Linked DNA regions of Struthio camelus. The main gene of each other region encodes a partner of the protein of the gene in region 2 in a complex. Links are inferred from orthologs where the notes say so. Each region holds a gene or a part of one and is shown on either strand. Other genes may lie near its edges.

What was found.
Region 1: the proteins of ANKS6 (region 2) and ANKS3 are in contact, whole or in part, in a crystal structure (PDB 4NL9), measured with the Homo sapiens proteins. The link is inferred for Struthio camelus from reciprocal best matches to the Homo sapiens genes ANKS6 and ANKS3. Residues at the interface, in NP_775822.3 of Homo sapiens: Glu796, Gln797, Glu798, Val799, Asp800, Glu802, Ala803, Thr806, Leu807, Asp811, Glu814, Leu815; in NP_597707.1 of Homo sapiens: Lys441, Tyr442, Thr470, Leu471, Phe472, Gly473, Pro474, Arg476, Lys477, Arg484.

The regions. Positions count from the first base shown.
Region 1 is NC_090956.1:18,021,870-18,038,447, reverse strand, and holds the start of ANKS3 (ankyrin repeat and SAM domain-containing protein 3), read right to left. Parts: upstream 6,367-16,578; 5' UTR 6,320-6,366; intron 2,779-6,319; 5' UTR 2,675-2,778; intron 2,523-2,674; 5' UTR 2,522-2,522; coding exon 2,352-2,521; intron 1,988-2,351; coding exon 1,789-1,987; intron 1,637-1,788; exon of another isoform or gene 1,594-1,636; coding exon 1,472-1,593; intron 1,368-1,471; coding exon 1,286-1,367; intron 587-1,285; coding exon 451-586; intron 128-450; coding exon 1-127. Other genes in the region: DNAAF8 (dynein axonemal assembly factor 8), read left to right, coding at 6,614-6,624, 8,322-8,481, 10,884-10,997, 12,201-12,695, 16,004-16,106, 16,499-16,578. UniProt on the Homo sapiens protein: May be involved in vasopressin signaling in the kidney.
Region 2 is NC_090943.1:73,345,636-73,362,379, forward strand, and holds the start of ANKS6 (ankyrin repeat and SAM domain-containing protein 6), read right to left. Parts: upstream 9,471-16,744; 5' UTR 9,434-9,470; coding exon 9,087-9,433; intron 6,926-9,086; exon of another isoform or gene 6,795-6,925; intron 6,676-6,794; coding exon 6,173-6,675; intron 2,240-6,172; coding exon 2,195-2,239; intron 1-2,194. Other genes in the region: GALNT12 (polypeptide N-acetylgalactosaminyltransferase 12), read left to right, coding at 15,739-16,112.

The DNA.
Region 1 (16,578 bases), on a different chromosome or scaffold from region 2:
ACTGCTGTTATCTTAGCCAAAGCTTGGGGCCCCTCATGGATGCTGGGACCCTTGGTCCTACGAACAGGTCTCTGTCTCTGGGGAGCAGAACATGATTCATCTGAGGAACTGAGATCGTCATATTTTCCTGTGGTCAAAACAAAAACTGTTAGCGGCACGTTAATTCATTTATCTGCTTTATTTGCTACTAGTCCTGTAAAAACAAACAGACAGAGAGAAAAAAAAAAAAAAGGAAATGTTAAAAGAGAGGGTGAAACATAGGTTAACTAGGTCAGAAAGGGGTCAGCAGACCAAAATTGCCATGCTTGTTTCATTCTCAGAAGTCCTGCAACTTCCAGGGCAGATCAGCTAATACTACCCCTACACAAGTAATTACATGCTTTCAAAACAACAAGCACTTCTCTTCAGGCTCTCTCTAAAGATGCATGAGCCAAACCATTCTTCTGTTACCTGGACCCCTGCAGAAGACTTTGGGCACTGGGGCTGTATGCAAGTCTATCAGCCCCACAATCTTCATATGTCCATACTTCATGGCCAGGGTTCGTGCTGTAGCTCCCGTGTTATCTCTCACATCTGCTTTTACTCCCTATAGAAAAAGAAACACGTACACCATGTATATAGCAAGGGGAAGTATGTATAAAATTCAAGGGAGCCAAAGAATTGTCTTATTTCCTCTAAACCCATCAGAAATACAGGCTCATCTTTGATATACAGTTCAAGCTCCACTAACTAATCCCTTGCTGCTTTCCTGATTAGCTAGTGTCTCCAGTCCTGGAATGCCAATTTGCCCAGGTATTTTGCTTTTGTGCATTGCCACAGGGAACTAGTCCATTTTATCCAAAATATGTTTTTGCCTTGCTGCTTCCTTCTGGAAATAAGCTGGACCAATTAAATGGGATATTAAAAAGGCGCTATTTAACCTCAAGAGACATGAGCGTCCATAAGCTTTAGGACAGAGGGCACAAGATGCCCACTAGCAAGAGCACACAAGCCTATAAACACAACACAGGGGTAACTGCATTAGTTGTTTACCAATTTAGTCATTATTTAGTCAACTCTGGACAGTTAGATCTCACTTCTATTCATGCAAAGCCAGTGTACAATCAGGGCACTAGCCTTCTGAAAATACGCTTCCAGAGCAATTCTGGAAGCTTGGGTCTTCAGAGGTGACTCATCAAGAACTAAACATAACACTAAGAAATCCGGCATCAAACACCCAGTTTTTCCCTCGCTGAGGCCTGGAATCACAGATTTTCAGCTTTACAGAGAACCGCCAGACACTTACATGATTGAGAAGATACTGAACAATTATCTCATGGCCAGCAGCAGCTGCTTCCATCAGAGGAGTATATCCATACACAGGCTCCCTAGAGAGAGACAGAGAGAAAGAACACATCCACATGGGCTGGAATCAAAGAGGATGCATACTTGAAATATTACAGACATGTTTTGGAGATGAATTCCTCCTTACTTGCAGTTGGCATTTGCCCCATTATCCAGTAAGAACTTCACCATCTGCTGATGTCCAGCACTGGTACAGTGAAATAAGGCTGTCCAGCCATGAATATCCTTCATCTCCAGCTCTGCGCCTTGCTTCAAGAGAACAGAGAATGTTCTTTACTGCATCCCTTCTGTGCTGTGATACCAAGAAAGTTTAAATCCCTGTCAGGAAGCTGAACTCACAACAGAGCAAAAACTGTAGCTTGGTCATAAGTGATGGAGAACCCTACTCTTTGTAGATGTAAACCATGTAGTGGTGGCTTTACCTATTTATTACTGGATACGCACCTGCAGAAGGAAATAAGCAACACTTTCATTTCCACAGCTGGAGGCCAGCATGAGCGGTGTCTGCCCTTCTGGTGTTGGGATGTTCACATTCACTCCTGCTTCCAGCAGCAGATGCACAATGGTGTCATGACCAATGTAGGAGGCATACATCAGTGGCGTCCAGCCACCACAGTTCCTCTTATTTAAATCCAGTTCTCCACTAAATAACAAAGAAAAGAATTCCGCTGAAGCACTGGCCTGGAGCTGTAGATCACAGTAGGTTCCTGTACCCTCTTGCTACCATCACTGCACTGAAAGGTTAAAAAAATTCTAGCACCGAAGTCTTGTCCACATGGGAATTCGTATCAGCTCTAGAACAATTTCACCCAATAACTGAGGTGATAATTTTCACCAGAAGACCTGTCCTTTCCAACCTTGTGCCCAACATTGTGCCCAAAAACACTGCAGAAGTTCCAATGATGTGCCCTTGTCCCAGTGTTAGACAAGACTGGAACGACAGCCAGCGAGAAAACATGAGTGGAATTAAATAAGAATAGACCTGCACCCTCTCCAACCCTCCTTACCATTGAATACACTCCTGTACCACTTCATATTGGCCGATGGAGGAGGCTGTATGCAAGTCCAAGGGAACATCCAGTTCCTCTCGACAGATCATCTGACCGACCCCATGCCACATAGAAAGGCTGCGGCTCAGCAGCTCCGACTCACTGGCTTCATCGCTCAGCTCCGACATCCTGCCCAGAGCAACCAAAGCAAAGCGGAACTTTTAGTTGGCTGATCTCACTTCTCTGTTTAACATAGCATCACCCATGGGCTCTACAGCTTCAAGATGCTGCGGGCTTGGAAAGTGAGGTCACCTCTGAGGTATGAGATGTCAAACACCTACCTTTGCCTTAATCCCTTCCTTAGCTTGCTGTAGCCTGGAGCAGTAAGACTTGCCGAGCAGCTTTGCTGGCAATTTGCTGCAGCGGACCCTGGAATTTGTATACACTAGAAAAATAAAAAACAGTAATACTAAGAAATCATCTTTCAAACCTGATTTTAAGACTTCAGAAGCATTTCTTTCTTCCCCCTGCTAACCAAAATATGCCGAAGGCAACTTTTGAAAGCCTTTGTCAAGAAACGACGTTAAACTCTTAAAGTGCTGACAGCATGCTTCGTATTATACTAAAGGACATAATTCCTGGCCTGTATGGTTTATAATTCAGAGAGAATTAAGAATTCATGCATCAGGAAAATACCAGAGACATCTGTCTTATGCTGCAGAATAGCCCTGCTTAAATTACTACCTGCTCATTAATAATAACAGCTATCAACTGCTATCAAAAGGAGTTAATATCATCTGCAGAGAGTGAACACTTCATTATGTCATCAGGCTGTCAGTAGGTTATTTTTACTGTTTATTGTTTCAGCATTTTAGAAGCAGCCTAGCAGTCCTGTCTCTGTGAGTCTTGGAAATGGCTGAAACACACTTTGATGTGCAACACACCTGCCCCTCCATTATCTGAGTGTGTCCACTGTATTGCAGACAGTAACTTAATTACAAAGCCAGCACAGTTTCATGACTGTCTGAAAGGTTTATTTTCCATCCTTAGCCTTGGGGAGCAATTGCGTATTAATCACTTTAACCACTCACAGGAGAACGTTCTTGTTTGGCACTTCATAAAAGCTGTTTGACACAGCTGCATCTATCACTTGATCTCTTCAGCTGCAGTTTCAGGCTACATCCAAGTCAATCGAATGGGGAGTGCCTTACCTGCCCTGTATTCTCGCCACCTCCCATGCACCACTTCTGGAGTTTGCCTGATCCCACCACATGTTATGTTGGGCAGCTAAGCCAGCAAAACCTATTCTTTTTTTCCTGATAATTTCTTGCCAGTTTATCTCCTCAGACCGATTCTTTGCAGGGTCATGTAAATGCCAAATTTGGCGTCAGTGAAGAATAAAGGAGAAAAGGAGCATGTTTTTTTCCCCCACCAGCAGTTGCTCTTTAGATTGCCTCAGCCATAACATTTCAAGACTATCCTTGGATTTTCTAAAGAATTCCGAGCCCTTTTCTTGCAATCACCAGCCCCTTTTCTTACAAAAGGAGAAAAAGGCCTTCAACTCCCACACCCTTCACTCCCCAATTGGATCTTTTCTCTCATGAATTTGCCTTTTTTCCCCTCCTTCTTCCGAAGTTTGTTCAGATTAAAAAAGCATCATCCGTGCTACCTAATAAAGGTGTGCTAGTTAATAAATGATTCATTTTTAAAGCATATCTGCAGAGGCACATGTTTTACACAATAATAGCTATTTCTATTACACTTGCAACACAAAGGCAAGAATATACAGGACTGAATACAAATAAAAGACAGGCCACATCCTGAACGCTTCACAATCAAAATACAAAGAGATATAAATGTGTATAAGTGGATGGCAGGGGAAAAAGGTAGGAGTATTTCTTACTGCAACAGATTAAAGCTACCATTGGAAGGCAAAAAGTCATGTTCACGCTTAAAGGAGGTAAAAGCCATGACAACTTGGAGAAGCCAATTCAGATGAAAATGAAGCTCCCTGTATTCTCTCCATACCTTCTTCTAAAATGAATGTTAACTGTAAAAACTACAGATGCTTGGTCTCTACCAGGATGTTGACAATATTGACACACAAAAAAAGATTATGTTTAAGACCAAAACATTCAAGACTCAGCCTCCTTCCTACTGTCTCCACCATGCTCTAGCTGGCTACATCATCTTTTACTATGAGATTTCACCCTGGCATACTAAGCTGGAGCATGATGCCAGCTGCACACGCCCCGACGAAAATATGGAGGACAACCAGGCAGAATCCAGAGAACAATAAAAACAATCATAGCCCTAAAGACTATGACATACTACGCCTATCAGGATTGTCTGGACTAAAGAAGAGAAGCCGGGAGAGGGCATGTGGTAACAGCCTTCAAATTCAGAAAAGGCTGCTGCAGACAGGAAGAGGAAAGAAGTAATTTGTTCCTTGTGCCCATGATGAATACGACAAGATGCTATAAGTTTAAACTGTAGTAAGGAAGATTTTGGTTAAAGACTACAGAAATTATTCTGAAAGTAAACCAACAGTACCAGAACACCCCTGGAATAGGTACAGGCTGTCCTTGCTTTGGGGCTAAGTAATTAAGTTTGACATTCCTTTGAGAACTTCCTTAGCCCTGTAAGTCTGGTTATTAATCAGTTATACTTAACATACCAACACCTAGCTTATCACCATGGTTAGAGCTGTACTATGCTGAGACTCAGTGCAGATCACAAACAATAGCGTGTTTTGGATTCAGAGAGCTTGGTTGTCAAAGCAGACAAGGTAACCAGAAAGTAGGGAAAGGGAAGTACATGACAATTCATTATGAAAATTGCACTAAACAGCACCTTAGTATCCCCTTTTTGGAGGATAAGGCTAGGAAGGAGTAAGTGACAGTAGATGGAAAGAGAGGTAGAAAAAACAATACTAAAGGAAGCAGGAGGCAATTTGAGAAGAAACTAGGGCAAACAACCTCCATCACAGAACAAAGTCCAACACTGCATATTAATCACTTGCCCATCAGTCACCATTAAGCTGCACTGACTCTGCTAAATTCACTCCCAAGCTCTTCCCCAAGCATAGGTAATGAGGAAACAGCCAAACAGGCCCTGCTGTGGCAAGAAATACCTCCCCAAGAAAGCACAAGTCTGGACACTGCTGGAGTTTCCAAATGAACCACAGAGCTGATCACATACTTCACTTCTGCATCAGCCTTTACCATCTCCACTAAACTCAGCTGGAAGCTATCAAAAACAAGAAGCCTTGTCACACCCTTGCAAAGGTTCAAACAGCTCAGCTGTAACTAGCTCAGCCTCCACACCCAGCACTCCCAGAGCTGTGACATCTCATATCCAGACCGCTGTTTTCTGCTGACTGACCGGAGGCAGGTACACACACTACATTTATGGGAACTGCATTGGATTTCATGGGACTGATGATACCACGACCTAAGTAGGTGTGAGAAAAGAAGTTTTCTCCCAGCATGAGTGGTGGCTGAGGACCCAGCATGCCTGTGTTCAATCCTATGCGTGCCTGCAGACAAGTCCCAGGGCTGCTCTGCTCCTCGCCTGCAACACAGGCGTGACGCTCACAGAGCTGTTAACACAAACACTAAACCCCGAAAACAACAAAACAGAGTTGTCTGGCAGAGCCAGGTAAAAGAGGAATTGAAAGCACTTCAACAGCCACGCTAGGAAGCACGTTTCCTTCGGGGCGGCCGAAGAGGGACAAGCTCGGGTGCAGCCTTCAGGCCGCGGCTGCGGGGGGGAGGCAGGCAGAAGCCTCCGCCCGCGCGGCCCAGCGGCTCCCGAGCGCGTCAGCCCGCCCGCCCGCCTCCCCCGGGGCCCTGCCGGAGCGCTGCGGCGGGGCAGGCCGGGCGCCGCGGAGCCGGCCCGGCCCGCGGAGGGGCCTCCCCGTGGCCGACCGCGAGCGCCCGGCCCGGCCCGGCCCGGCCCACACCGCCGCCTCCGCCGCTCCTCACCTGCTCGCCCGGTGGGCTCCGCTCCCGGAAGCCGCCCCGCCCGCGCGGAGGATGCCGGGAGCCCGTAACCCCTAGAGACACGAAACCACAAGCCCCAAGAGCCTTCGCGGCGGAGGCGCTGCTCCGCCCACTGCCGCGCCTCGCCAATAGCAGGCGGCGCTTTCCGACGGCGGAGCGGCGGCTGGCCAGGGAGAGGCGGGCCCCGCGCAACGGCGGGCGGTCCTGGCAGAGCGCACGGCCCCCGGGAGGCGCTGAGGCAGGGGAAAAAGAGTTTCAAAAACGGCACCGAGGGGCATGAGGCAGAGGTATAGACGCTTTATAACCCTGTTCTCTTTGGGTTGCCCGTTCCGTTTTCTCGTCTCACATAAGTTACGGCGATTTGGTTCAGCTAGCTGCCAGGACCCCGGGCCAGGGGCGGGGCCGGGAGCGGCGCCGGCGCTGGGCCTCGGAGGCGCCCGGGCGGTGCTGTGAGTGAGGGGAAGGGGCGGCGCGGCGCGGGGCGGCGGGCGGGCGCCGGTGGCGGCCCGCGGCGGGGCACGGCGCCGGGTCGCGGGGGGAGGGCTGGCGGGCCGGCCTGGCGGGGCGCGAGCGCCCGCAGCCGTTGGCGGCGTTGCCGTGGCGACGGGGAGGCCGAGGGGCGGAGCTGCGCGTGCGCAGCCGCCCCGCCATCTTGAGGGCCCTTCGGTAGCGTCGCTGCGCTGCCCCGCGCTCCTTCTCGTCCTGGGGTCCCGACAGCGGTGGCAGCGTTAGAGCTGTCTGACATAAGGCTGTTCGCACTTTGCTTAACACACGGTACTGCCTGCTCTTGGAGAAGAGGTATTGGGTTAGATGAATGATGTCAGGTCCGGTATAGCATCCTGAATTTGGGCATCCCGGCCCTTACCTTGGGAGACTGGCCTTGCTTCTCCCGGTGGCAGGGGAAGCCACAGTAAGTGGTTGGTTTTCCGTGGAAATCCTGTTCCTTTCAGCAAACTTCTATGTGAGCATATTTCAGTCTTGGTGATTCCCCCCCCACACCCCGCGAGCATTATGTAAATCAGATTCCAGCATTACCTCATGTGAAAAAAAAACTGTAGGCTGTAGGTGGATGGCACTGGAAGCGTTTGCTTTGTGAAGCGGGACTTTGTGAGTTGTGAACTTCCCAGGGCATAAGATGAGTTTCCCTTTATACGGAGAGGTATGTTGTCAATCCATGCCAATGCACGTCATAATGATATTGTAATGATATGAATAATCAACTCAGTTCTGAACCACATAGTCATAAATCTCTTAGCCTTTCTTACCAAATGGAACTGATTTACTCCCACTTCTGATTTCCCCAGGGAACCATGCAATTGTAGCACAGAAATTCGAAAAGCAAAGGTCTTCCATTAGGTTTAATTATCTAACAAGCACAGTGGTAGCCCCTACTGTGTTTTCTTGACTCCTCTTGTACATCAGCGAAAACATGAGGAAGGCATTCACTCTATAAAGAGTTTGAGAGGTCAAAATCCAAGAGCATGGCGACTGGAAATTATTTTTATGCAAATCCAGTGATAAAAAGCAGTTGTAAATCATTTTATCAGTCTTTGAATAGTGGAGGGGGAGGGAACATGAGGAGAAATGGGAAAGCGAGTTAAAGACCAAATGAGAGCAGAGGTGTCATGCCTCCTCTTTGCCTCTTGACGTGGGCAGTGAGAATGTGCTTTTCTGAGAGCACAATTACAAATCAGCCCAGTCAAGATCTGCTTTATAAATGAGGGGTTAAAATGACCCCTGGATGGCCCCGTTTATGTATGTATATGGTGAGTAGGGCAAAAAGCTCTCGGCCTTGTGGAACTCAGGTGGGAAGGAAAGGCTCCAGGAATGCAGATGTTATCATTCATTGCTGGGAGTGAAAACCCTGTGAGTGTTGAGAATTATGTTGACCCTGAATACACATGCTTTGTTCTTCCTTTGTAATGATGTTATCATTTGTTTTCTCTCGTGATGTGTACCAAGCTCATCTTTCATTTGATTGAAGGGAAGCTGTTCAAATGGCCTCAGAAAGGCAAAGTGAAGATACAGAGTGTCCACCTGAGCCTCTTACAGCTCCTGTTCAGAGTAACAGAGCGTTTCAGTGGGGAGCCATTCTCGCTGCAGTGAAAGATCAGCTCCCATCTCTGGACTCTGACACTTCCACAGTAAGCACGGGAACCCACTGTTCTTTCACAGTTTTTTAGAAAAATCTCTCAAAAGCAAGAGAAGGTCACTTCCTTAGCCAGGCATTTCTGAGTAGCTAGCATGGTGTCCTTGATGGACTGCTTTTTTGTTCTGAGTACTGTTGTAGTGTGTGTTCATTAATCATCAGCCTTCTGCATTAGCTCTAATGGTCAGGATGTAATTGCCACCTCACTTCACTGCATTCTTTGGAACCTAAAAATGGCACTGATTTTCCCAGATACTAAGTAGTCTCAAAGTGGGAAGATGGTGGTAGTGGGCATCTCACAGAATGAGCCTACATGTCGTCTTTGTTTGCTCAGCAAAGAGTACAGTATGAAAGAAACTTACAGCTGTGTTAAAATGAAATCTATTCTGATTTTATCCTTGACAATGTTATTCAAAAAGCGTACTGGCCAGGCAGTAGGCCTGTCAGTATGTTTTCCTATGTGTGATGCTTGCAGGGAAGTCATATTTCTGAAGACTTTGTGGTCGTCTGGAAGAAGGAGTTGGCAGATACTTAAATCCTGGATTCTGTTTTCTTCGTTGCCTGTAATTCTTAGCAAGCTATGTTGCCTTTCTATGCTTCAATTCTACGTGTAAAGGAGGATAATGCCACTTACCTTTTTAATATAAAGTGTGAGATTGATGAGTATTGTGCAGTATTCTTCACTGTTACAGGTTTTTTACCTGCTGTGTCTCAATGTCTGGGACTGACTGCTTATTGGCCACTTGATAACTTGGAAGTTCTCTGCTCACAGGACAGCAATAATTTGGTGGCAGTAATACAAGTGTATACCTCGCTAGTCTGAGATGCTAGCTCTCGTAGTGGCTTTCCTGAGGTGATCGTGTGTCTCAGGATTTGACTGAGTATTAGTGGCGTTCTGTCCAGATCAGAATATTCTCTTAGTTTTCAAACCTGTATTTCTAGAAGGAAAATGTTTCTGAACGCTTAAGGGAAATATTTTTTCCTAACTTAGTGTGCCTCTTCATCATACAAAGGGAGTCCTGTGAGCAGTGACGGGGCTGGAAGTGTCTCCATGGGGTATTAAGCACCTATTATTAGTCAGTCATCAGAAGCAGCGTGATCTAGTGGGTAAAGAGTTGATATGGGTTCCATGACTTGATATCTGTTCCTGGCTTTATCACTAACCTATTGGACAAATCATATTGCCTCACTCTTTCTCAGTTCCCTTCTGCCTACGTTCTGTTTTAGTTATTTAAAGCAAGCATTGCATTTTAATGTGTGTCTGTACAGTACACATTAAGGCCCTAGACTCAGGAATGAGTTCTAGGCGTTTTTGTTGCATAAGTGTACAGTAATGTCATGACAGAAGGATAGCTTTGTGCTTTGGTGCCAAGTACCAATCTCTAAACTGTAAATCACGTTGAACATTTTTTTACTTCTATAAATGATCTCCAGATTTTCTTTGTTTCTGTTATATATTGAGCACATTTCCTGCTGGAGGAACTGAGGCAATCTGTTTGGCACTTACATGCTGCCCTTAATTTGCATTCAAAAGATCTGATTGTATAATCCCTCTCCTGCTTGATATAAAACAGTAGCCTGCTGAGACTGTGGTTTCAGTGCTGCACCTTTGCCTGAGTGGTTTCTGCTCATGTCAAGATATATTTATGCATCTGAGTTCTCTAATCTCAATGGGCTGCGGTCCTATATTCAGAAACGGCAATGACAAACAGTACTTTATGCCCAAAGGGTACTTTGGTCACCCTCATATGCATCTTATTAAGAGGAAAGCAGTTCTACTGCAGTTTCTTCCATGGTGAGTAAAACTAATCACACCAAACAATGAGAATTCTCCACAGTGCCAGTTGCTGAAAGTGTCACGTTGCAAAACAAAGGGACAAACAGGAAACCTGGGTCCTGACTGTCTGCTGAGGAGGTGCTTAATCTCACTTTGGTGTCTATGCATAAAGATTCATGTCAATCATGTATCTTAATGTTCAGGAAAGAGATTTTCAATTCTATTTAAACTCTGTCCAACCAAGTGTGGATACTGCTTTGCGTTCTGAATAGTGAATGAGGCAGTGTAGTCTGTTAAATTGGCAGGTGCATGGGATCATTTGGGAGTTAGAGGACTTGCCCACTCTTGTCCTTATTTAGCACAGGGGGATGTTAGTCATCAATCTCCATGGTAACTCAATGTTTTCTGTAGCTTTTACTAAGGTAGCTTGCTCAAATGCTAGGCCGCTGTAATGACAGCCTAGGTTGCTGAATCAGACTGTCTAGTGAAGATGTGACTGAAGAGAAAATTCTTGTCTCTGAACTTTAGTGAAGTGGTAAAAAGATGAAATTTGTCACTACAAAACAGATATTTGGCTGGAGGTTAGAGTCTCCCATTTAATTTCTCTTTTTTGTTGTCAGTCTGATTGTGAGAGCGATGGGGAGCTTTTCATCTTCCAGCGAGAACATCCAAACTTAATTCCTGACCTGTCAGAAGAACTGATGGATTTTTCCTGGGAAGACTCAAATATGCAGGTTGTTGACTATTCTGTGCACACTGTACTACCGTTAAACCCCCTCCCCACTCTTTTGTTTGTCTGCGATGTGGGTAGTTACTTTTATTGAACCTATTTGACTGAGTTGTGTCATGTAAGAGCATAGTCCCCAGTACTACTTTCTTTCTCTTTATATAGCTCCTCTTGTAAGCTCTCTCTGCTGTGGAGATTTAGGCCTTTTTTCCTTTGTCTCCTCTTCCTGAAGTTTCTATTATTGTCCTTCTACTCTTTTGTCAAGACCTATGACACTCCTTAGTTCCTAACGTTATGGATCTCCTCTCTTCCTCTCTAAAATCCTAACCTTCACTTTACTCATGGTCCTGTCTCTCAAGAAATCTTTCAGCCTCTTCTAAATCTAACAAAACATATTTTGAATAATGTACCTATTGAAGATGAGGAAGGTACTGGTTGTTGTGTAATAGCAGGTGCCCAGGGTGAAACAGAGAGCAAACTACTAGTCAGAAAGAGCATCCAAATATTTATGGGTTGATGATAACACTGAATTGTTAAGGAAGAAGATGCTGCTCGCTGAGTCTGTGGACCTTTCTGTAATAAACTCGGTGCCTGCAGCTCAGTTGCTGAACATTCATACCCTCAGGATGAGGGCTCTGTGAAGCCACTAAGCATCCATGCGTTAACAGTAATGCTCTGTAACGGCTTCTAAACTTTTCAGTGGTTGCTATAGTTTCAACCACCACTTTATGTATCTAGAAAACGTAGAAGTAGGACATGTGGAGGACTAATGGAGGACAAAGAGGACTAGTATGAATTTAGTCCCTTGTACAGCTGTTCTGAGATAAAATGATTACATTATATCTGCAGTGATGAAGACTAGTCATCACAGGAAGCTGGAAGATAAGCCAGCTGACTCTGTTATTTCATCATGGGAAGACTAACTTCCTGGGCTGCTTTTCCCATTCGTTTATCTTGGTGTAAGACATCACGTTATGACCAGACGTAAGGCAAATTAACTTCAAGGGCATTTAGCGTTTTCTGAAGTTAGAGACTTTGCAAAGTAAACAGTCTTACTGTTTTCTGTGACAAAGCATGCTGTGTGCTGCTACCAGATGGTGTCTGATTTGGAATTGCTGTCTGCCAATCACTTTGTTTTGGCTTATTGTCCACTTCTGTAGCTTAGTAAGAAGATGTGATTTTTTTGCATGTGTATTTGCTCTACCTGTAGCAAATACAGGAAACAGCAAGACATCCATGGGAGGTCTGGAATGAAAACCTGGAAAGTTTTGGCTTGCAGAAAGAAACAGATGGTGTCCAAGTCATTGCAAAAAAACATATGCAAGTGATTAAAGATGAGACTTCCAGTCTTGCCAGCCATACTGAAGAAATTCCAGGCCAAAAGGGAACGGTTCTTGAAGGATCTTTTGCAGATTCCACAGACCATCTTGAGGAGAAAGAACTGAGCAAGAGACAAGCTGGGGAAACAGGGGAATTTTGGCTTAATACAGCGTTGTCTATGGAAGATCCAGGCAGTGAAAAAGAGAGAAGAAAACTGATAGAGACAAAAATACTCTCTAAAATATTTCTGGAGCCATCACCAGGCCACCCAGAGCTGAAAGTGAAGCCACCCTTGGAGGGCATTAGCAGCGTTCTAGAACGAATCACTAAGGAGCAAACTTCCTCAGCTGAACATCCTCAAGAACTAACCCATTTGTCGTTGCCGGTAAGTGGGCCAAACAAATGGTTTCAAGGGGTGATGTTCATGTGTAGGGCGGACAGTGTATTGCATACAGAATTGCACTAAAATAAAGAACCAAAATGCTGAATTCTGCACATACCACAGCATTCTTTGTTGCATTTATTGCTGTCATGAACTGGGGTTTTGTTGGGTCGGATGCTGTACAAACACAGAACCAAAAATACCTGATCTTTGTTCCATAGAGCTGTCGTAGAAAGTTCGTAATAGTAGCGAAAGCCATTGATCAGCAGCATGGTAGTGTTCATATTCGGGAAAGCCAACCACAAAGTCTGTCCCTGGGAAGATGTGAATGGTTTCTGTTCACAGTAAGACTTTTCATTAAAACTATGAGGTTTCTGGCTTTCTTGCACCTTGACTTTTCTTCTGTGGTACTGCACTAATGCTAGAGGTGAGAAGAAATGTTCTGAAATCCAATACTTAAGTGTCTCTTCTTGAACCTCTTCCACCTAAGCCAAGTGCTTAGATTCATGAGCTGACCAGTTCACGTGCACTCGACTGGCACATAGTCCCAGCATTGACACGATTGTTCGCGACAATATTTATTTAGTTCCTACGTTGATTTTAAAAAATCATTTAGACTTAGTCAGCAAGAAGCATGAGAACATGATATTTTTGATTAAAGCCTTCCATGGAGTCAAATTACAGATGTCTCATTTCCTCTTTCATCTGTACTCCCAGAAAAATTTCCTTTTTGGAGTTAGAGCCGTTACAGTTTAGGCACAAAATACAGGCGCCTGCCTGTGTTGTGAATTATGCTGCATTGCTTAATCATGTAATTATTGGAGGAGATCTTTCTCAGGTGTTTAATTCCTACTTCACCTAGCATAAGTCACTTGCTCTAGTAATACTAGAGGTATGGTTCTCCTTTCAGTACGTATTTGATAACATTGACTTCAGTGGACTTAAATTTGATGTTTCTGGGTGAGTGCTAAGACCAGGCTCAGTGTGTTGTATCTTTGTGCAAGCGAGGATAAAACTGGATCGTATGTGTACACGGGGCATGTGTTTAGATTTGAAAACTAGTTGTTATGGCCCAGCTGAGACAGATGACTCAATTTATGTCTAACTTTAAAGATATTAAAACTCATATATGTAATTTCTTGTTTATTCTAACCATATTTAAGACTAATTGTTAAGATTTAAGACTCATTTAAAACTGATTTTTTTCTTTCTCAAAGTATATTTTCAAGTTCCTTTCTCTGCTAGGAGCTGAATCCTGCAGATCTTCGTTTATTTTTCTTGGGGACCCGGTACAGTACCTTACAATATGCTGATTTCTGTGAATAAGGTTTCAGAGGATAGAGACTTAGTAATGCAGCAGGTTACGTGACGGTTTGATTTTTTTATTACAATGATTTATATTAAATTATTAAGCACAATTTTTAAAAATAAGCTAAGGACTGATTGCATTATAATTAAAGCAAATGCACACATTGTGTTTCCCTTCAGGTTGTTTGCTCACAGCTGCCTTTTGTCAAACAGCACCTGTACTGAACTGTGATGTGTTTCTCGGGGTAGTAAGCTCAGTTGTCTGTCACTCTTCACCCTTTCCAGACCAATACATCTAAATGATATTGCTGAACCAAGATTAGTTTCATGTCAGCGTAAGAGGCTTGTGGCTATCATCAGGCTTTTATCTTTCGTCACCTGCAGACTGTAATATCAGAATAGACCTAATCGTGGTTCAGTTACCCATGGAGATCTATTGGTCTGGAAAGAGTGAACATCATCTCTTAGGTGAGAGTGACAGACAATGAAGTTTTTTACAAGGTGAAACTGTTTCGAGGCTGGTGCTGCTTTTCTGAAAGGCTTGAATGATCGTATAAAATGCATGGTTTTGTTGTAGTTGTGACATAATTATATGTCATAACTGATAGCCAACTTCCTTTTTAAAAAATCGTAAGTATTTTTAAGTAATCTCTATTCTGGTGATGGTATTTCACAGATTAGATGCAGACATTTGTAATGAAAAATGACATTTCAAATAATATTCAGCAGGGGAAAGCAATCAGTGTTTTAAATGCTTGTGGATCTCGGTGTCATCACAGATAGACTGGTTCTCATACCTAAATTAGCAGCATGCCGTGTGAGCATACCCTCAGCCAGTGTGTGCATGGCTAAGTATTCAAACTAACAGCATTGTTGAGATCATCCCATCTTCTCATTTTGGGTAAACAGTTGTGAGAACACAGCTATTGTTGACTGTGCTTAAAGGAGCAGGAATAAGCCCTGGTCAGGAGTTGGAGGAGGAAGAAAAGGTTGTGGGCCTCATCTCAAAAAGTATTGAGAAGCCGAAAGGCCTTCCCATGTCAGCGAGAGCAAGAAGTGCTCAGCACTTTCCAGCTTCAAAATCTGTGTGTTTGGTACAAGTATCAGGCCATCTTTTCATCCGTTGTCCTGTCTCCATTAGTTATTGTAGTCTATTTCAGAGTGCTGAAGAGGCCTCAGCAGAAATGGATGAGGCAGCTGGATAGATGCAGTACCCAAGGAGATGGTGTAAATGCTTCCCTTTCATTACAGCATTTCTCAGTGTAACTTTTTAACATCGCAAAATGGCAGCGTTAATGGGGCCCTCATCTTTCCTGGAGATAATGAAAGGGTAAGGAAAGGTAGTTGGAGATATGGAGGGAGAGAAATAAGATATGGGTATTTTTGATACTGCTAGTGGGTTTGAGGGAAGAGGAGGAGCACTTGCTGTTATAAAGAAATTTCAGCATGTGAATAGATGCGTTAAGACTGAGCGTTATGGAGAATAGGCTATGCTCCAGCTGATGGAGAGAAGGGTCAGATGGGGCTTATGTTTCTCTTTTTAAGGCACTGCCAGTTCAGTCCGTTTTAGAAGCATCTGTTGAGGCTTTGCATTTTCTCCAAGCGTGGCAAGAGACAGTTGGCATTTGAACATCAGTTAGATCCTTCATTGAGTTCTGTTAGAAATTGTGCTGCACTTACCCTGCCAGATGTGCAGAGCCGTGACAGTAACACGAGGCAGGCAATGTTCAAACAGTAAATATCCTTTTGTTAGTCGTGTTCAACTGTGTAGGCTCACGCTGAAGCAACTGTGTCTACAGTGGTGCACTGGTTCATTTACTGGCAAGTGATGGCAGCATAGTACTGGGATAAATAGGAGAAACTTCCAGATGTTATCCAGGTGCTTATGTGTGGCAGAGGAATCTAATGGAGTGACCACGTGGACTGTGATTCAAAGGGACTTTTATGCCGTAGCAGCCTTTTGGGGGTGAGTTTTCCATCCCTGTTTGATGGTCTTCTTTCAGGATATTGAGAAATGGGATCTAGACAAGATTCTTGAGGAGCTGGAGCAGCAGAAGGATAATCACACTCACTCAGAGGAAGTTGCTTTCTCTTCAGCAGATCATGGTAACACTGCAAAACTAATACTACCTTTGCTGAAAATGTGTAAAAATCAGCTTCATGGTTTTTTATTAAGTCATTCCCTGCAGCATACATAGTTGTGCTTTGATTGCCTGTTCAAAACATCCCTTTTAACTAAATAGCTCCCCTCAAGAATTTGTTGTGCTGCTTGAGCTTGAAAGCAGTGCTTTCTGGCCTGTCATGGTCTGAGAGGGAATCAGGGACAAGACAAATGAGGGTTTGAAGTGAGTTTAGTCACAGCCAGATGGCAATAAGATCTTTATCACTCCCCTTCTTCTGACAAACTATAGAGAAAGTGACAACGGGAAAAGGGGCGTATGGGGTGATGCCATGGCAGAAAGATCATAACTGATCTTTTTTCTTTTGTTCTTCCATAGAGACCTTGAGGGGTAGGTCTGAAAATCAGCTCATGGAAAAGCTAGAAGAGCTGTGTGCCAGGCAGTCCAGGACGTTATCT
Region 2 (16,744 bases):
GACCAGATAATCTCCAGAGGTCCCTTCCGAGCTCAACCATTCTGTGATTAATGGAACAGCAACTTCTAAGCTACCACACCAAACCCAGGATCAGATGTGAACGCTAAGGCTAAGCGTGACTATTTAAAAATATACCTCTAACTTTTCAACAGGAAGGCAATGACAATATTACTTAGAAGGTAACTCTTGTTGATTTAAAGATGCGTAACTGAAATCTATTTGGATAGATGTCAAGAAACAATGACATTTTCCTTCACAACATTTCTAATGTACAATTTAAAAAAAAAAAAAAATCTAAAATCCATCAGTAATTGAGAAAGCTGCTAACTCAAAGCCTTCCTTCAGGTTGCAGCTCTCTGTTGAAAGGGAGGGGATGAACCACACCAAAGACTTCATGATTATGTTACAGTCAGGAATATGCACATGGACAAACTTGCCATGCACGCAATCCAGTCAGGTACAAATCCAGCTTTCAGTGGTATACAATCAGATTTTCTGTGCCACAGCCACAGAATGCATCCTTATTCAGTAAGGATTATTAGATCCACTGCATACACAAGGCTTTACCACATCCAGAGTCTGTCTAGGTGCAAATGTCATTTTTGCATAGCACGAAGCCTAAGTCCGGAAAGACTTCTGAACCTGTGCTGACTTGTGCTATATGTTCTGCACAACATTCTTCGATCTGTACTATATTGGGATGGACTGCTAAAGCACGAAAGCATTTCCATATAAAGTCTGTCCAGGTCCATTCGGACTTACTAAACGATCACAATTTGGACACCTAATTCCCATGGTGTTTTCCATTTGCCTTCACTGCCTAACTCTCCAGGCTTCTGGAGGGAGTACTAGCTCAGCAGAGATTGCTGCAGAGCTTATATTCCATTCTTGAGTGCTGCGGCAGGAGGACATATTAGCTCAGATTACAGATCTGATCTGTTGTGCATTCATCCCTGGTCCACTCAAAAATAAGTCCACTGGAACGCACAACACTTGGGAGCATGTTGCAGAGAAACATGCTGTAGCTGGCTCTGCAAAAGCCACTCCAGATACGACCCAGCAGAGCAAACTTGCTAACTGCACAGGCACTAGGGTTCCTGTCCATCATTCTCCAGGACCTGTATTACAAATGTTTCTTCACTGCGTGGGGCATCTTAGTCCCAAGTAACGGCAGATTGACTTGAGGGAATACAAGCACACAGGATACCCTCTGAGAGATTCTCATAAGTCTCATAGGTCTCAGTGAACTCAGGAGTTCGTTGAACATGAAATTTATTCTCACATGAGAACAGTATCTTTCAATGTTTGAAAAAAATATATTTAAGAACCAACTTTTTTATTGCTGAATGACAGTCAGTTTTCCTGACTGTCCATACAGCTAGGATAGGCAATAGTAGGCTGCAGGTGTTATAATAGCTGAGAATATATTTGCATGGCAAAACAGCAAATATAAGAACAGAAACCAGATAAGGTTCAAACCTCTCTACCCTGTCAGAGAGGCCACAAATAGTGCAGAGTTTTCTAACCTGTGATATATGAGGAACTTCAGCAGAAAGGGAAGAGTCCTATTTCCCAATTCTATGCCATCAGGTGGCAAGACTCAGGTCAAATCTATCATCTCAGCACTTTTTCCTATGCTGAGAGATTCAGGAAAACAGGTAACCAGAAAACACTTTGCCATCCACCAAGAGCGCAACCCATCAGTGTCTGGATCAAACTGAAATCAACAGGATGAACCGGCTCTTTCCATTTCCCAAAGAACAGATTTTGTGCGTGCTCATGAAAAGTAACTGTTACTCATGAGAACACAGGCAAGATCTTTACTCTTTTCTTGAAATAGCTTTAAAGAGCAATTACAACGCTCGTATGGAGTAGAAGCCAACATATTTTTGCACCAATTAGTGCTTTTGTTTTCATGCTTCAAGTTTATCAGGAAGAAAAGAGCTTTTTAAAGCAAGCATGGACTTAGAATAACTGGAACTACTAAATCACATCATTTTGGCATGAAGGACACAACCACAAGCTGTAAACTCAGACTACAGAAATAATTCTATTTTTAAATTAAAAGAAAAATAAGAAAAAAAACAAAGTAACATATAAAAACAGAACACATTGTCTCAGTTTCCCATTTTAGCAAAAAGGCATGCCCTGCAGTTGCAAGAACCAGACGTGGAAAAATCCTGTCAGTACTTACCCAATTTCAAAGCATGAAAGACATCAGGTTGCCTCTTTTCTGTATCTGGAAAGACATAAATAGTTTTATTAACAACTGCTACAAAACCAAAAATTTCTAGTAAAATTCGTATAGCAAAAAACGTAAACAAATTCTATATATAATTACTATAAAAGATTTGTGTGGACATATGGAGTCAGGAAGAAAGAAAGTACAACATAACCTTTACGTTACCTATGGGAGAAATGGCTCACCTGTATAGCTTTCTGTGCACAGTTAACTTTACGAAATATAATACATTATCAGTAAAGGTTTCTGCTTTTCAGTGTCCATCCTGTAACAGGAAACGGTATTTGGAAACTTCTGAGTTTCAAAACTGAGAGACTAAAATATTACTTAAAGAGCTACAGTGAAGTTCTGTGGAATCATGTAATCCTCTGTATAGGCATAAACATTCAGCAAGTAAAGGACTGTTTTGAAAAGTGACTCAAAAGGAATTTTACAAGATGCTCCTTCCTGCCCCCCCTTTGAGTTTTGCCAGATTAATTTGTGACCTTCACAAAAATATTGGTGATTTAACCACACAGCTTGTTTGCTACTTGTGCATTAACATAGATCCTTCAGCTCCCAGTTCTTCATCCTCAACATAAGAACAGTAATTATTACAAAGTTAAAATATTTTGAGTGAAAGATCTTACTTCTTACTGACTTTCAAAGCGCTTTGAAACCACTGGCACAACGTAGGATAAGGAAAAAACCATGAGTTATTTTGCTCCTTCCTTTTCTGACTCAAGTCAGAAAAATTCATCGTCCTGCGTCCTAAAGCATTTTTTACCCCATTGATTCTGTAGTGTCAACAGAGTTTTAAAGAAAACGAGGAGATGTAGAGAGACCTCCTCAGTCTGAATCTGCCATTTTTATGAGAATGCAGAAAAGGTTAATGTTCACAGCTTGACTTCAGAGGAAGTCATTTGCAATTGCTGGCAAGCCTGAAAAATGATGAGAAGCTCTTAAGATATTTTAAGGCTGGGAACTGGAGCTACGGGTCCTATGTTTGTTCCCAGTTAAAAAACGGTTCTTACAGAAAAAAACTGTATGAGCCCACTGTTTGTTGGGCAACGGATTTCAAAACCCAAGTTTAGGAAAGGCCTGGACTCTTTGTATTTGGCTTATTAAAAGCCTGAACAAGAGGCAGCCTCTGGGAGCAGGAGACCATGATGAGATGCTGAAAGACAGGGTTATACAGACCGCGTAACCCAAAGCAAGGACAGGGACAGGACACAGGGAACAACAGGGTAGTTCACATTTTTGTTACTGAAAACAGTCCTGCAATGAAAGCCCCTTGTGTTTGGGATGCAATTCCCTACAGCAATGGATCAGAAGACAAGTTCCTTTTCTGCTGCCTTACATCTGATTGAGAGAACATTTCCCGCCCCCTCTCCTCCCCCCCCCCCCATATACTCTGGTGTTCGCAGAAGATCAAAGCTACAGTCAAACACCACCGTGGAAATATCCATGGAGGTTAACATTTTTTAATCCCTCCCTGCCCCAGTTAATTACTAAGTTTCTGCTGATGGAAAATACCCCTCAGCAGAGATGACAAGAATACACATCTGCTTTTAATGCAGAGCTTCCTGCTGCAGGTTAAACAGCCTTCTCTGACAGTTTAAGCTGCATTGGATGATTATGGAAGATTTTTTCTCTATACTGCAACTAACTCATGTCTATTGTCAGAGACTGGTCGTGGACAAGCGTCTGCGCAGTTCACCAGTTCTGTCTGGTGGCTTGGCTGTATGAGAGTCTGAGCTCCCACTTGGTCACACGTTGGTGTGGAATAGGTTAAGTTAAAATCTTCTCTGAAGCAGAAAGAAGTGTTAGATTTCTGTTCTTTTTTCTTAAAGTATAATGGAAGCTTGACCTGCAAGAATGACACCAAATTTAATTAAAATTTACAAGCTTTAACCAAGAGAAACATGGCTGTATTGGGACCGTGGCTATGTCCAGGCTGCAGTGTAATACAGAGATAATTACGTAAGCTTTAAGTAAGTCTATTTGGGCAAAGCAGCAGAAAGGGATGGGGGGGACTAATTTACTCTGCAGGCTTTCAGCCACCGCGGCCAAGTTGTAGCACCTGGCAGATGTTCTTTTTAGGGCTAGCCACATACTTCGGTTTTAAAGCAAGTACTCCAATGAGGAAAAATCTAGATGCCTATCCTCTCCTGCAGCTTTTCCAAACCCTCTTCTTAAACACATCCCATCATCTGTCTACATTATAAAGCACAAATATCTTGAAATGCGTCCCCAAATAGCCACATACAGAATAAGGTCTCAAACTTCGAAATGATTTATTGATGTTCTAATGACCAAAGCAAAATGTCTCACTTTAGAAGCAGATTTAACACATTTCTGTTGGCTCCAAACTTCTGGAGAAGGAAAAAGCAGCAAATCCATGATACTTCAATGGAATTGGCATAAGACATTAATAACATTTTTATAAAACTTGCTAAAAATAAAAGCTAAGCTAATTTGGAAAGATATCTGGGAGATATATCCAGTACAAATTTGCATTCATCTTTTTATATTCATACTTTTTATTTTATTTATCCACTGAGAATTTTTAAGAAACTAAATTCATCAGCATTTCAAACTGACAGATAACAGTGAGCAGTTGTAACCTTTCTCTTTAATACAAATCCTAGGAAATTACATGCAGAAAACTATCAGAGTACGAACTTGCTTAGTAATTCAAGTACTCAAAATAGAGTAAAAATAATTAGAAAATTATTAATAACAACTTGCAACATATTATTCTATTCTATACAGAATAATCATCATTTAGAGTGCAGTACTGGATATACTATTTTAGACTGAATGAAAAAAATTTGTAGTCAAAGTTTGCTTGCATCTTTCTAAACCTTGAAATCATCTCATGAGATATTACCTCTCTCTGTAAAATCTTGTACTTCTTATACCCTCAAACTACCATGGCTACAGCTACCCTACTGCCACAGATTCTTTAATCACACAATCACAGAACGTTTCTTCATCTGCTCTCATCTCATTCAGTGCACATAATGCATGCATTATGGGGCAGAATTAAAGCAATCATAAAAGCAGCATTTCTTAACTTCATTTTACTTGAGATTTGCACTGAAGTAACGTGCTTTTAATCTAGTTTGGTATACACACGAGCACAAGGTATGTGTGTTTGTATGCACGCATGCGTGTTTGGGAGGAACAGGTTCCTTATGCATTCTATGAAATCCTGAGGTTAATTCATTGATCAGAAGTTTTACAAAGACGTTTAATCTTGAATTGTGACATTTCAACTGCTGGAGATTCTACACCTCTGCTAACTCACTCCAGATCTTAGTTCCACTGCAAAACATATTTCCCATCCCATTTTGTAAGGTTAACATTAGAAAGATTTTTTCTTTGGCAGGTAAAGAGGTCCTTCATTATTGGATTTTTTGTGCTTATGTAGACATTTTATTAATTGCATCTCATAACCACCTCGCTATAGAACTACATAGACTGCAATTCTTCAGTCTTTCACTGTAAAGTAGGCTTTCTAGATTTTATATCTGGTACGTTTTGAGTTTATGATATCCTTTCTTTGACATCCTTTCTAGTTTTTGACATCCTTTCTTCAGTGCCATGTCAAGTAGGCCTTTTTAATTCCTTCCTAAATAAGCATCTGTCTCATACATGTTAAAGATAAAAAAATAAACAGTAAAGAAAACGTTTTAAAATGTTTCAAGCACAAACTTCACTGCAGAACAGGAATTCCATCACGCCACCATGGAGGAAATCTGTGAAGTCGGGTATGCCTGCCCTACCCAAGGTAGGTGTTTCTACACCAACGTTGATCTCCTAGTTCAAAGGCTCTTAATTATATGTTTAAAGAACATAACGTTCATTAAAAAAACGACCCCTTCAATTTGCAAATATATAATCAAGACTTCAGGAAAGCAAAACAAAAAAGTTAACACACTGTACCTGTCTGGGGTCTGATTGTTGTTAGAGATTCCAGGTAGTCCTTCATGTCTTTGTGTTTGAAGCCAACAGAGATTTCAAAAGGCGTTTTATGTAGTACGTTCAGATGATCAGGATTGGCACCTTTGTCCATGAGCTGCTGGGCCAAGCTCACTTTTCCACTAACAGCTGCCAGCATTAAAGGACTCCAGCCCATGGTCTTCACAGTGTAATTACAGTCAGCTCCCCAGTCTAGTAACAGATGCACCACTGCCTCATGTCCATGCTGGGCAGCTGCCATTAGCGGAGTGATATCTGGTAGGTCCTCTCTGCTGCTGCTGCTCAGTAAGCTTGTACTAAAATGGTCGTAGTTGTCTACGAACGCTCCAGATTCCAGCAACAACTTCACCATGCTGACGTGGCCACCTCTGGAGGCCATTGTGAGTACGCTGGCTCCTAACTTGTTCTGTGCATTGAGATCAGCGCCATTCTCCAGAAGGATGTGAGCCACGCTTATATGTCCAAATCTTGAGAAAAAGAAAGAAAGAAAGAAAGAGATAAGGAAGAGAAGATAATGAACTCCTTAGGTAGTAGAAGCTTCTCTCAGAAAACTGACATACTCTGACAACATGGAAAACCTGCTTACCAAATTGGCTCCTTGACTAGTCAACGGAAAGGAGCGAGCTATTACATGTACACACCACTACATGAGACAGTGGTCACCTTCACTGGAGGGGAGTGATCAACAGCTGAAGCCTGTGCCTTCCTGCACTGCTTTGCCAAGGTAGGCGACCACGCCCATAGTCTAGGCACTGCTTTAAGAGGATGTCCCGGCCAAAGCAGCAACGCGCTAGCCTCATTTTTAACTGCAGGAGGATATCAAAAGCATAAATTCCATAAACTCTTCATCCTCTCAATTCTAGGCCTGTGTCACAGTCAGGAATCAAAGTCAGCTTGTTTGCATACGGTGAATAAGTGGAATAAAAACGTCAACCAATCAGTGCTGAAGAAAAAAAAAAAAATCAGGCCACTTCATGAGATGGTTAGACAGTCTTCATATTTGCACCATCCCTTCCTTTCCAGTTTCACCATTAAGCCAGCCTCAGTACCACTTGACTATCAGAAGCTCTAGTAATTTGTCAGTAAGCTACAGCCAATCATGCAAGCCACACACATAACCAGCTAGCTAACGGTGAGAAAATGGAAACCCTTTACCCCTCCTCAACTGCGGAGAAATATCATGTTTTTATAAACGTAATACATATATAAGATATATTTTGTGCTTCTTGATGCAGATACCATGCGTTACTATATGCTCGTGCGGTGTTTAATGCAATCAAGCTTGGATTCAGAAAGCAACTCTTCTATACTGCAGCAAAACAAATGTTACTTGAGGAATCCCTACAGAAGGCTACTAACCACTAACAGCAGACAAAAGAAAATAAACAGTTGCAGAAGGAACCTTCCAGGGACTGTCTAGTCCTTAGGTCTATTCATGTAGATTAATGTTGAGCCTGTCGCCACCATACATCCTGCAACTACTGTGCATGTGGTTAATGTTATGCACGTATGCTGTTCAACAGGACTAAATACAGCCAGAAAATTAAACGTGTATATAGTTCGAAACCTATGTTTGAAAGGACTTTGTATTTTCTTCTTCTTTTTTTTTTTTTAAACAATTAGAGAGTTATGGTGATTTGCATTTATTGTTTTTAGAGACTATGTAAGGCTTTCATTAAGGCAAAAAAAAAATCTAATAATGTTTCTGTAACTTTTATCCTTCCTTTTTAAAAAAAAAAAAAAACCTTCATAAAATAACAAAACTGTTGAATGTTGTCTTCCTTGTTCTTACTGGAAAACTAGCTGTATGACTCATTCTTTGGGAACTTTCTATGGGCTTTAATTGAAAGGAGAACGTTCACTCTCAAACAAAGTTTTTTCTTCCAAGTATTCTAATCTATTATGAAACACAAAAAACATTTCTCCTCTCATTCAAGCATTCAATTATTATAGGGAAATACTGTCCCTAATCTTGCAAAACATGCATGATAATCCACTATTCGTGCAAGTAAAGATAAGCACTAATGCACGCATTCACAATACTGGAACCTTCTGTAACTCAGTAGCAAGCAATACCAAAACTATCGTGATAGATGAAGAAAAATATCCAGCTTTGTCCTTAAAGTTTTAAGAAATGATTTTCCATATTCTCCAATGAGCCATTTAGGAAAATATGGAAAAGTCAAGTGAAAATAAGTGTTTCCATTTTCCTCATTACATTTTAAATCTGAGATGGTTACTCAACAGGTAGATTTAAAAAAAAAACCCAGAAAATTAAAGTCATGCATGTATTTTATTTCCATCTAATTGAAAGAGAGGCATAATGTTTTCATGCCCAAGTTACCTTCAAAAACTTGGGAAGCAGCGATTCCGCACTAATTTTACTCATGAATTAACGAAACTCGCCTACAGCTTTAATTACCACACCTTTAAACGCTACCTTAACCCAGGCGCCTATAGAAAGAGGAAGGGGGGAAAAAAAAAAATTTACGCTTGACAATCCATTCTCAGAGTCATCTCCCGGAAAGGAAACAGGTGACTATTCACATCTGCCGTAATACCCACCCTTGGAACACGGATACATTAACCAGGCTTTACGACGTGGCATTTCGCTCGTCCGGCACGCACGGGCGCTGCCCCCAGGCGCCTCCCCCAGGGCCTCGCCCGGCAGCCCCGCGGCCCCAGCCCTGGCGCCGCGGCGGGCAGGGCGGGAGCGAACCCGCGGCCCCGCGGGGTGGGCGCTGCCGCCCGGCGGCGGGGGCCGCGGCGGGCCGGCCGGGAGGACGGCTGGGCGGACGTAGCCTGCTCCCTGGCTGGGCAAGCGACGCCGCCCGCCCGCCCGCCCGGCGGCGGCCCCGGCCCCGGCCCCGGCCCCTACCTGGCGGCCTGCATGAGCGGGCTCCAGCCGTAGTGGTTGCGGCTCTGCACTGAGGCCCCTTTCCGCAGCAGGAACCGCACTAGCTGCTCGTGGCCGCCGGCCGCCGCGAACTGCAGCCCCGTGTTGCCGGCCTCGTCGGTGCCGTCCACGGGCACGGGCAGAGCGGAGGCGGCGGGCGCCGTCGCCCCCTCGCCGCGGGGCTCCGCCGCCGCCGCCGCCTCGGCGCCGCCCGCCGCCTCGGCGCCGCCGCCGGGCAGCCCCAGCAGGCGCTGGGCGGCCTCGCAGTCGCCCTGCTCGCAGGCGCGGAGGAGGAGCTGCACCGGCGCGGGCACCCCGCACTCCCCCATGGGCAGCGCCGAGCGGCCCGGCCCGGCCCGGCCCGGGTCAGCGGCTCCGCGGCCGCGGGGCGGGGCGCAGCGGGGAGGAGGAGCCGCCCCGGCCGGAGGAGGTGGCGGAGGGGGCCGGGCTCGGCTTCGTGCTGCCGTTACTCGTTCCCAGCCCGGGAGACGCGTCTTTTCCCCCTAACGTGTTTTTTTTTTCCCCAGCCATCACAGCAAGTCTTCATTATACAGCTCGTTCACTCTCACCCAACATAGCCTTTCCCCCCCTCCCCCCACACTTTGTAGCACGACTTCTGCAATTTAGCTCAGTCTTTCCAAGCCAGTCCCATTCTGGTTATGTTCTCCCTCAGCCTTTGCTTACACCTTCCTACTTCTTTTTTGCTTCAACTCAAACCCTTCACTGAAATATAGAATTTGCAGCCAAGTGATTCTCCAACAAGAATATTTTTTCCCCCAGACATCGCCAATCTGCTGTTCTTTCAGTTTAAAGAGTTTGAGTGTAAGACTCAGATGACTTGCAGGGCTGTGGCAGTGGTTGGCCCCCACCACCTTAAAATCCAAGTGTCTTCTATCTAGCTTCAGCCTCATAGATAACCTGAATCTTTTCCAAAACCGGAATCTTTTCCACATTATATGGATTTATAACGGCCACAGTGAGAAGAGCACCAATGTAATAACTGTCTGAGTGCAGGTGACCAATCATTTTAGAATACTGTATTTGTGTTCCTGTAAGTCCTGGCAAATCACTGTTAAAATCTCTGCATCATCTCAATAGCATGTTACTTACTGTAATGGACCAATGCCGGAGGGTTTGGGGAAGGGAGGACTAGAAGGGATTATGGGCAGGGGAGTGAAACCATCAAATGCCACTAAAATTAAGCCATTTAAAGCCGCTGGTTTTAGAGAGCGCCTCCCGTATCTTCCATTGTATGTGGCTTTCTTCCTCTGATCCACTTGCAAATCTGGACTGCAAGATCTTCATGGCAAAGGGCCCAACAAAACACACTCAGAGAAGGCCTCTATAAATAAGAGCACTGGCCGTGTTTGTGGCAGCTCGTACCAGTTCTCTGGAGAAGGACAGAAGTAGATCCTCACAGCAAATAAAAAAATGACTTACCTCTTTGCAAATTTATCATTACAGAAAGAATATGACAAGTTCCTAGAGATGCTGAATAATAGTCATACTTCCTCCATTATATATATCCCGGAAAATATCTTCCTTAAGCTTGAAGATGGTTATACTGGCCATCATCTGAGGCAAGGTACTTGGCTGAGTAGACTCGGCCTAGCCCACAACAGCCATTCTTAGGTTACTGCAGTGTGAGGAGTGTGCCATTATGACTAAAAACCGGACAGTACAATTGCTTTCATGTGAGATTTCAGAGCTTGAATGAATGGAATGGAAAGAGTACTTAATGGAATACATCATTCAGGATTCAAGAAAACTGCATCATGCTTATCGTATCAAAGTGCATGCTTTCGCTATCGTCTAATTAGTGACAGGCTCACTCCAGTTTATCTTTGAGATAAGCTATTGCACATGTTGATCATACAGATCTATGTTACGTAGCTGATGATTATGCTATCAAAATCTACTAATGGATTGAAACTACAGACAAAGATATGCATTTAATAAGGAACCTTATAGCAAAAGATGCAACTTTTATTTTAAGGGACTCATTAAGAAGTAATAAAAATATTTGTTGGGGTTTACAAAAATGAGAGAGGAAATTATTTATGCTAAATGCTGCTGTTGTCATCTCATGCTCATTGCTGCCTTCAGTCCTAGGCATTTGTTTATACAGGTATGATCACTCAGTGACTTCTACCACCGATAGAGAACGAAAATACCACTGAGAGGGCAAAAATAATCAAATCTCTTATGAAATGAATCAAAGGCTATTCTTATAGGGTTTCAGTACCCAATGGGAAATATAGGATTTGACTTCACAGCAAACAACCTAAGTCTTTCAACTAGTTATTAGGTTACAAAAATAGGGAGTTCTTAGAAGAACAAGAAGACAGGAGAAAAAAACCTCAAGGTTCTCAAGTGCAGACTATGTCCTTTGGAAGGTCCACTGCATCTTCATTTGTGCACAGCCAGTGAAAAACACATTTGTTTTCATGAGAAATGGCTTCAAGTTACCAATATACTAATTTGGATAAGTCAATGTTGGATTGCACTAGGGTAAACATGGGTATCATTTAAAATGACAGAAAGGAAGTGAACGAAAAAAATCACTTTAGACTAAAGGAGACAGAAAAAAAAGTGCAAGGAACAGAACAAGCACACCAAGGAAGCAGTACAGATAAAGCAAGACCAAACATCTAAGGCCAAAATTTGTGAAATTTATTCTGACAAAAGTCTCCACTGAAAGTGATATCAAAACCCTAGTGGGGAGATAAATGGGCCACTATAAGCTCTGTTAAAGCTATTCATACTACCGGGTGAGAGAAAAGAGATAAACCTAGAGCCATCTTCCTACAAGAGATGGAATTCATCACTTGCAAAACAAAGCCTAGGAAACCATTAGGGCATGTAATGTGCCTGTGCAACTTGTAAAGGAAGTATAACATGGTGAATGGGCCACTGCCCATGTAGAACTATAAACTGGCCAAACAATAAGACAAAAAATTCTGTTGTTCCTACAGTACTAAATAGGATATCATGCAAATGGACGTATCCTCATACCATCAAACAGGAGAAAATTTCTACTTCATATAATAATTCAGGGTTTCATAATATAAAAGACTGTAGAATTACAATCCTAATCAAAAGCTTCAGAAAGGGACAAATGCAAGTAGCCAGAACATCTGTTCCTAGAGAAATCCGTAAAACTAGAGATACCTGACTCAGTCATAATCTTCATTATGAAAGTTTGGGGAAATGATGGCATCTCAAATCCACAAATACGATGCCATATTTATATGGCTATTCAAGGAGTAAAAGGCATATTTTCTACTCTAAAACCTTACTGATGTGAATCACAAGAATGTCATACTTCTGAGAAAAAGAAAATTGAAATTCTTAACATGTGCTCTGTATAAAGGATCTTGTGTATCTCTCAAATGAAAACAAAAGAGACACACATATTAGAAACACAATCAGAGAAAAGCAGATACTTGTCCAGTATCATCAGACTCATATTTGTTAACTGTGGTCTTTTCAGGCATAGAAATAGAAATAACTTTGAGAAAATGACTAAAAAGAATGGTAGTGAGTGCCTATAGTGGGGGATGACTAAGATTAATTCTACCACTTAATATCCCCTTCAGTTCCTAGTTCAGACTTGTAATCATGGCATAAATAACAGGTCTCCATTTTGTCTACTGTAAACATCTGCTATAACTTTGTGATAAAATTCTTTCATTTACAAAAGTCTTTCTGAATATGCCATAATTTTGCTGAAACTTTCAAAAGCTATTTCTGCATTTCAATTTCCCATGTCCACACAAGAATGTATGAAAAATGGGTCACATTTCAAATATCATAGGCCTTGAACAGTCCGTTCTGGAACATGTGCACAGAGCTGCAGTTCTGTTTTAACAGTTTCTGACAACTAAGTTTGCTAGTCATAGCTTTCTTTATGTGCGATATTTATTCTAATATCTGCAGTACATGCTTGCGATTTAGCTAAAGAGAACATTTATATATATGCAACAATACATACGTATAACAAGTATTTCTATGCCTTTGGCATGTACTTCCTTACTATCTTTAAGCTGTCGTAGCTTGCATATGATCCTCTGAGCAAGGTATTTTGTGTGTGTGTGTGTGTGTGTGTATACTTATGTGCATATATGTACATATATGCATTATATAGATCTGCAAATAGTACAGGTTAGGTACTGTGCAGGTATAGTCTGCTGAATACAGTCAGTTTGCACTGACTTGCCCCTATCAGAATTACCCAGTATTCTTCAGACTGATACAAGACCCCTGAAATAGCTGACAGCTTCTATCTCACTTGTCAAGTCTGTGTTTTTATGCCATTTTATTTTTAGGCCTGTGTACCCACTGCTCTTCCTCTCCTCTAAATGCCTGATGTGCTCTGTCTCTGCCTACTCGCCGTGCACCCAAGTTCCCTCTACACCCAAAGGCCGCCCTGCAAGACAGAGTCACACAGGCGCGCTGAGGACCTTATCCCTTTCATGTCTTGTCCACGTTTGCAGCTGCTGCAAATAACCACACCTTGAACACAAACACAATCCTGGGCACCAGTAGAACAGCAGGATGAATAATCATATTGTAAAAATACAAGCATACTTGTGCTAACAAAGGAGAGAATAAGTAGCCAAGGCTGTTGCTTTGCAAGGCAATGCTATTTTATGCCCATTTCAAGTGACTACGAACAATGACCGGTGGGTCCAAAGGTATATCGCTGAGTATACTTCATCTGAATCTTCTTTTTTATCCCTGAGGAGATTTTCTACCTGTCTGCAATATATTTGTCCACATGTTCCTCTGATTTTTGTTTTTTTTCAAGAGTACATAGGTCTTGCTTATTATTAAAACTAGAAACATTATTCTGAAACACGTTATTTGGTACTTTCTGTTGCCCAGAACAGACTATTGCTGACTGCAGAGTGCCTCCTTCAGTCTTTTCACATGGGTATTATTTAAGTTCCTTTGTTCCCAGCTTCACATTGTCTCTCTCTGAACCATTTTAATTATGTGATTATATTCTTGATTTCCTTCTATACTGTTCTAATACTTAAAATTAACTCTGCATCAGAACTGTCCTGTTTTCTTTTTCACTGTTCTTAATTTTGCTCTGAACCTGTTCTGAATCTCCCCCATTCATTTCTTTTGGGAGTCCATGGGCAGCTCCTTTTTTCTTTGACTCACTCCAAAAGGGCCTCATTTGCTTACTGCTTCTTTTGTCCTAGTCTAACTAGTTTGCAACCCAACACAAAGGGGAAAACTCAGGACTGCTTGTTCCAGACAACTTAACCTAAATCAGCAGCATATACCAGAAATGTTGGCTTTATCTTAAAGGTTTCCCCCTCCACTAGCCAGCAACTAGGGTTCCCTAGCTATAAACTCAGTATCAACAATGTTGTTTGGGCTTCCTTTGTGCAGAAAGAATGGCAAGCAGCAAGACAACATAATCACTGGACATACAATTACCAGTGCCACTAACTATCCAGGTCCAAAGCTTGCTACGCCTATCTTCCTTTATACAGAATGTATGTTCTAATGTCTAGCATATTAGTATTTACTAGTTGGCTGCCAAGCATATTTACACAAACATACATCCTTAGTATTATGCTTCAGTTATTCTGGCTTTTAAATATACTTCCAAATTCAGTTTTATGTTTATACACAGTTATCCATGCTAGATAACTGTATAGATGAATAAGAGATAATTAAATTATATATGTACACGTGCACGCACGCACACACACTTATGTCCAAATCCACTTAAAGTACTTGATACATGCTAGCTTGCCAGCAACACAATCGCTCATTATTATTCAGCATCCTTCTCTTCAGAGCAAGGCCTCCACAGCAGTTGACTGCCTCTGTGTTAGCTGTCATGTGTAATTTTTATTAGTATCTAGGCTTGGGCCTAAGCTAGGGAAAGTCAGAAATAACTCATAGCTGTCATTCCCCATTGTAATCTGTACAGTATGGCCCTGTCTGGTAATGACCAGATTTTTTCCACTTCTTTAGCATCAAAGGTGTTGGCATTCATCGCTCGGCAATGCTGGTGAGCACCACCTGGGACGTTCTCTGTCTGGGAACGACCAGAGTCAAGTTTAGATTAAATGCCAGTTTTGTTCCTCCCCTGCCCCAATTCTATCAAGTCATGAAATGGGCCGTCCGTTATCCTGCTAACAAACTGGGGGGTCTTATTTGTCTTTTGTATTTCTAACTACGAGGTCACCTTTTTTTTTTTTTTTTTGCAACCAAGAACACTTTTCTTCAATGCAACAGGAGCTTGTCATAAATGCCCTGGCTTCTGGACTCATTTTCTGTTTATTTTGAGAGGGCGCGCTGCTCTAGCAGCAGCGGAACTGCTGCAGCCGGCGCCGCTGGGGACTCGCTGCCTGCAGCGCCGGAGCCCTCGCGGCCGCCCGCACCGGGCCGGTGCCGGCAGGGCTGCGCCGCCGCCCCGCGGGGGGGCTGCCGGGCGGCGCGGGGTGGCCCGGGCCGGGCCGGAGGGAGCGAGGGAGGAGCCGGCGGCAGAGCCGGGCGCGCTTCCTGGAGGGGGGTGGCGCCGGCTCAGTTGAGCGCCTTGTGCAGGTCCGGGAAAACTTTGCGAAGTTGGCCCGGGGCGCGCCTCTCCGGGTGCGGGTCTGCGGGGATGGGCGGCCGCGTGGGGCGCGGCGTGTGCTGGGGCAAGCGGAGCCGCGGCCCCCGCGGCGGGGGCGCGCTGATGGCCCTGGGGCTGCTGGCGGCTGTGGGCTTCCTGGCGTGGCGGCACGGCCCCCCACCCCGCGCCGCCGCCCGCGCCGCCGCGCCGCCGCCCGCCGACGCGGCGCAGCTGCGGAGGCCCGTGTACGAGAAGCCCGCCGCGGAGCCGGGGGCGCTGGGCGAGCTGGGCCGCGCCGTGCGCCTGGAGCTGAGCCCGGCCGAGCTGCGCCGCCAGGAGGAGAGCATCCGCCGCCACCAGATCAACATCTACCTGAGCGACCGCATCTCGCTGCACCGCCGCCTGCCCGAGCGCTGGCACCCGCTGTGAGTACCGCGCCGAGCCCGCCCGCGCCCGCGCCCGCGCCCGCCGAGGCCGCTCCCACCTGCCGCGGCAAGTGCCGCCGCCTGGGGCGGCGCCGCGCCCCGCGCTCGCTGCTGCGCGCTGCAGCGCGGCCGGCCTGGCCCGGCCCGGCCCCACGGCAGCGGCGCCCTCCCGCCCGCCACCTTTACGATCCCAGTATTTGCTCACGGAGTCAGACCTGCGTCATTTCATCTGGCTTCTGCCCCTCTAAAGGGCAGACGAGTAAATACGCGGATGGTGGGGGGGGGGGGGTGTAGCCGTGAGAGGCTGGTTGCCTCCGCTAGCACCACCAGCGTTTCGGCCTGTATGAGTCGTGGCATCCTGCCGTGCTTCTCCTGCTGCTGTCCCCTGCACTGATCGCTGTTTAGGGCGATTTAGGCAGTATACTTTTCAAATCACCTCCAGCTTTTTTTTTTTGGCCTCCTAAACGTCAGCTTTGGAGTACTTGGAGTAAACGTACTTGGAGTAACGTACTTGGAGTAAAACATCTTCTGCTACACTGTATAGAGCAGCTTGTTTTGACAGCAAGAGTATTCAGATACATATTTACCAAGAGTGTACTGCTTTCACATAATGCCCCCAGAGGTGCATAGCC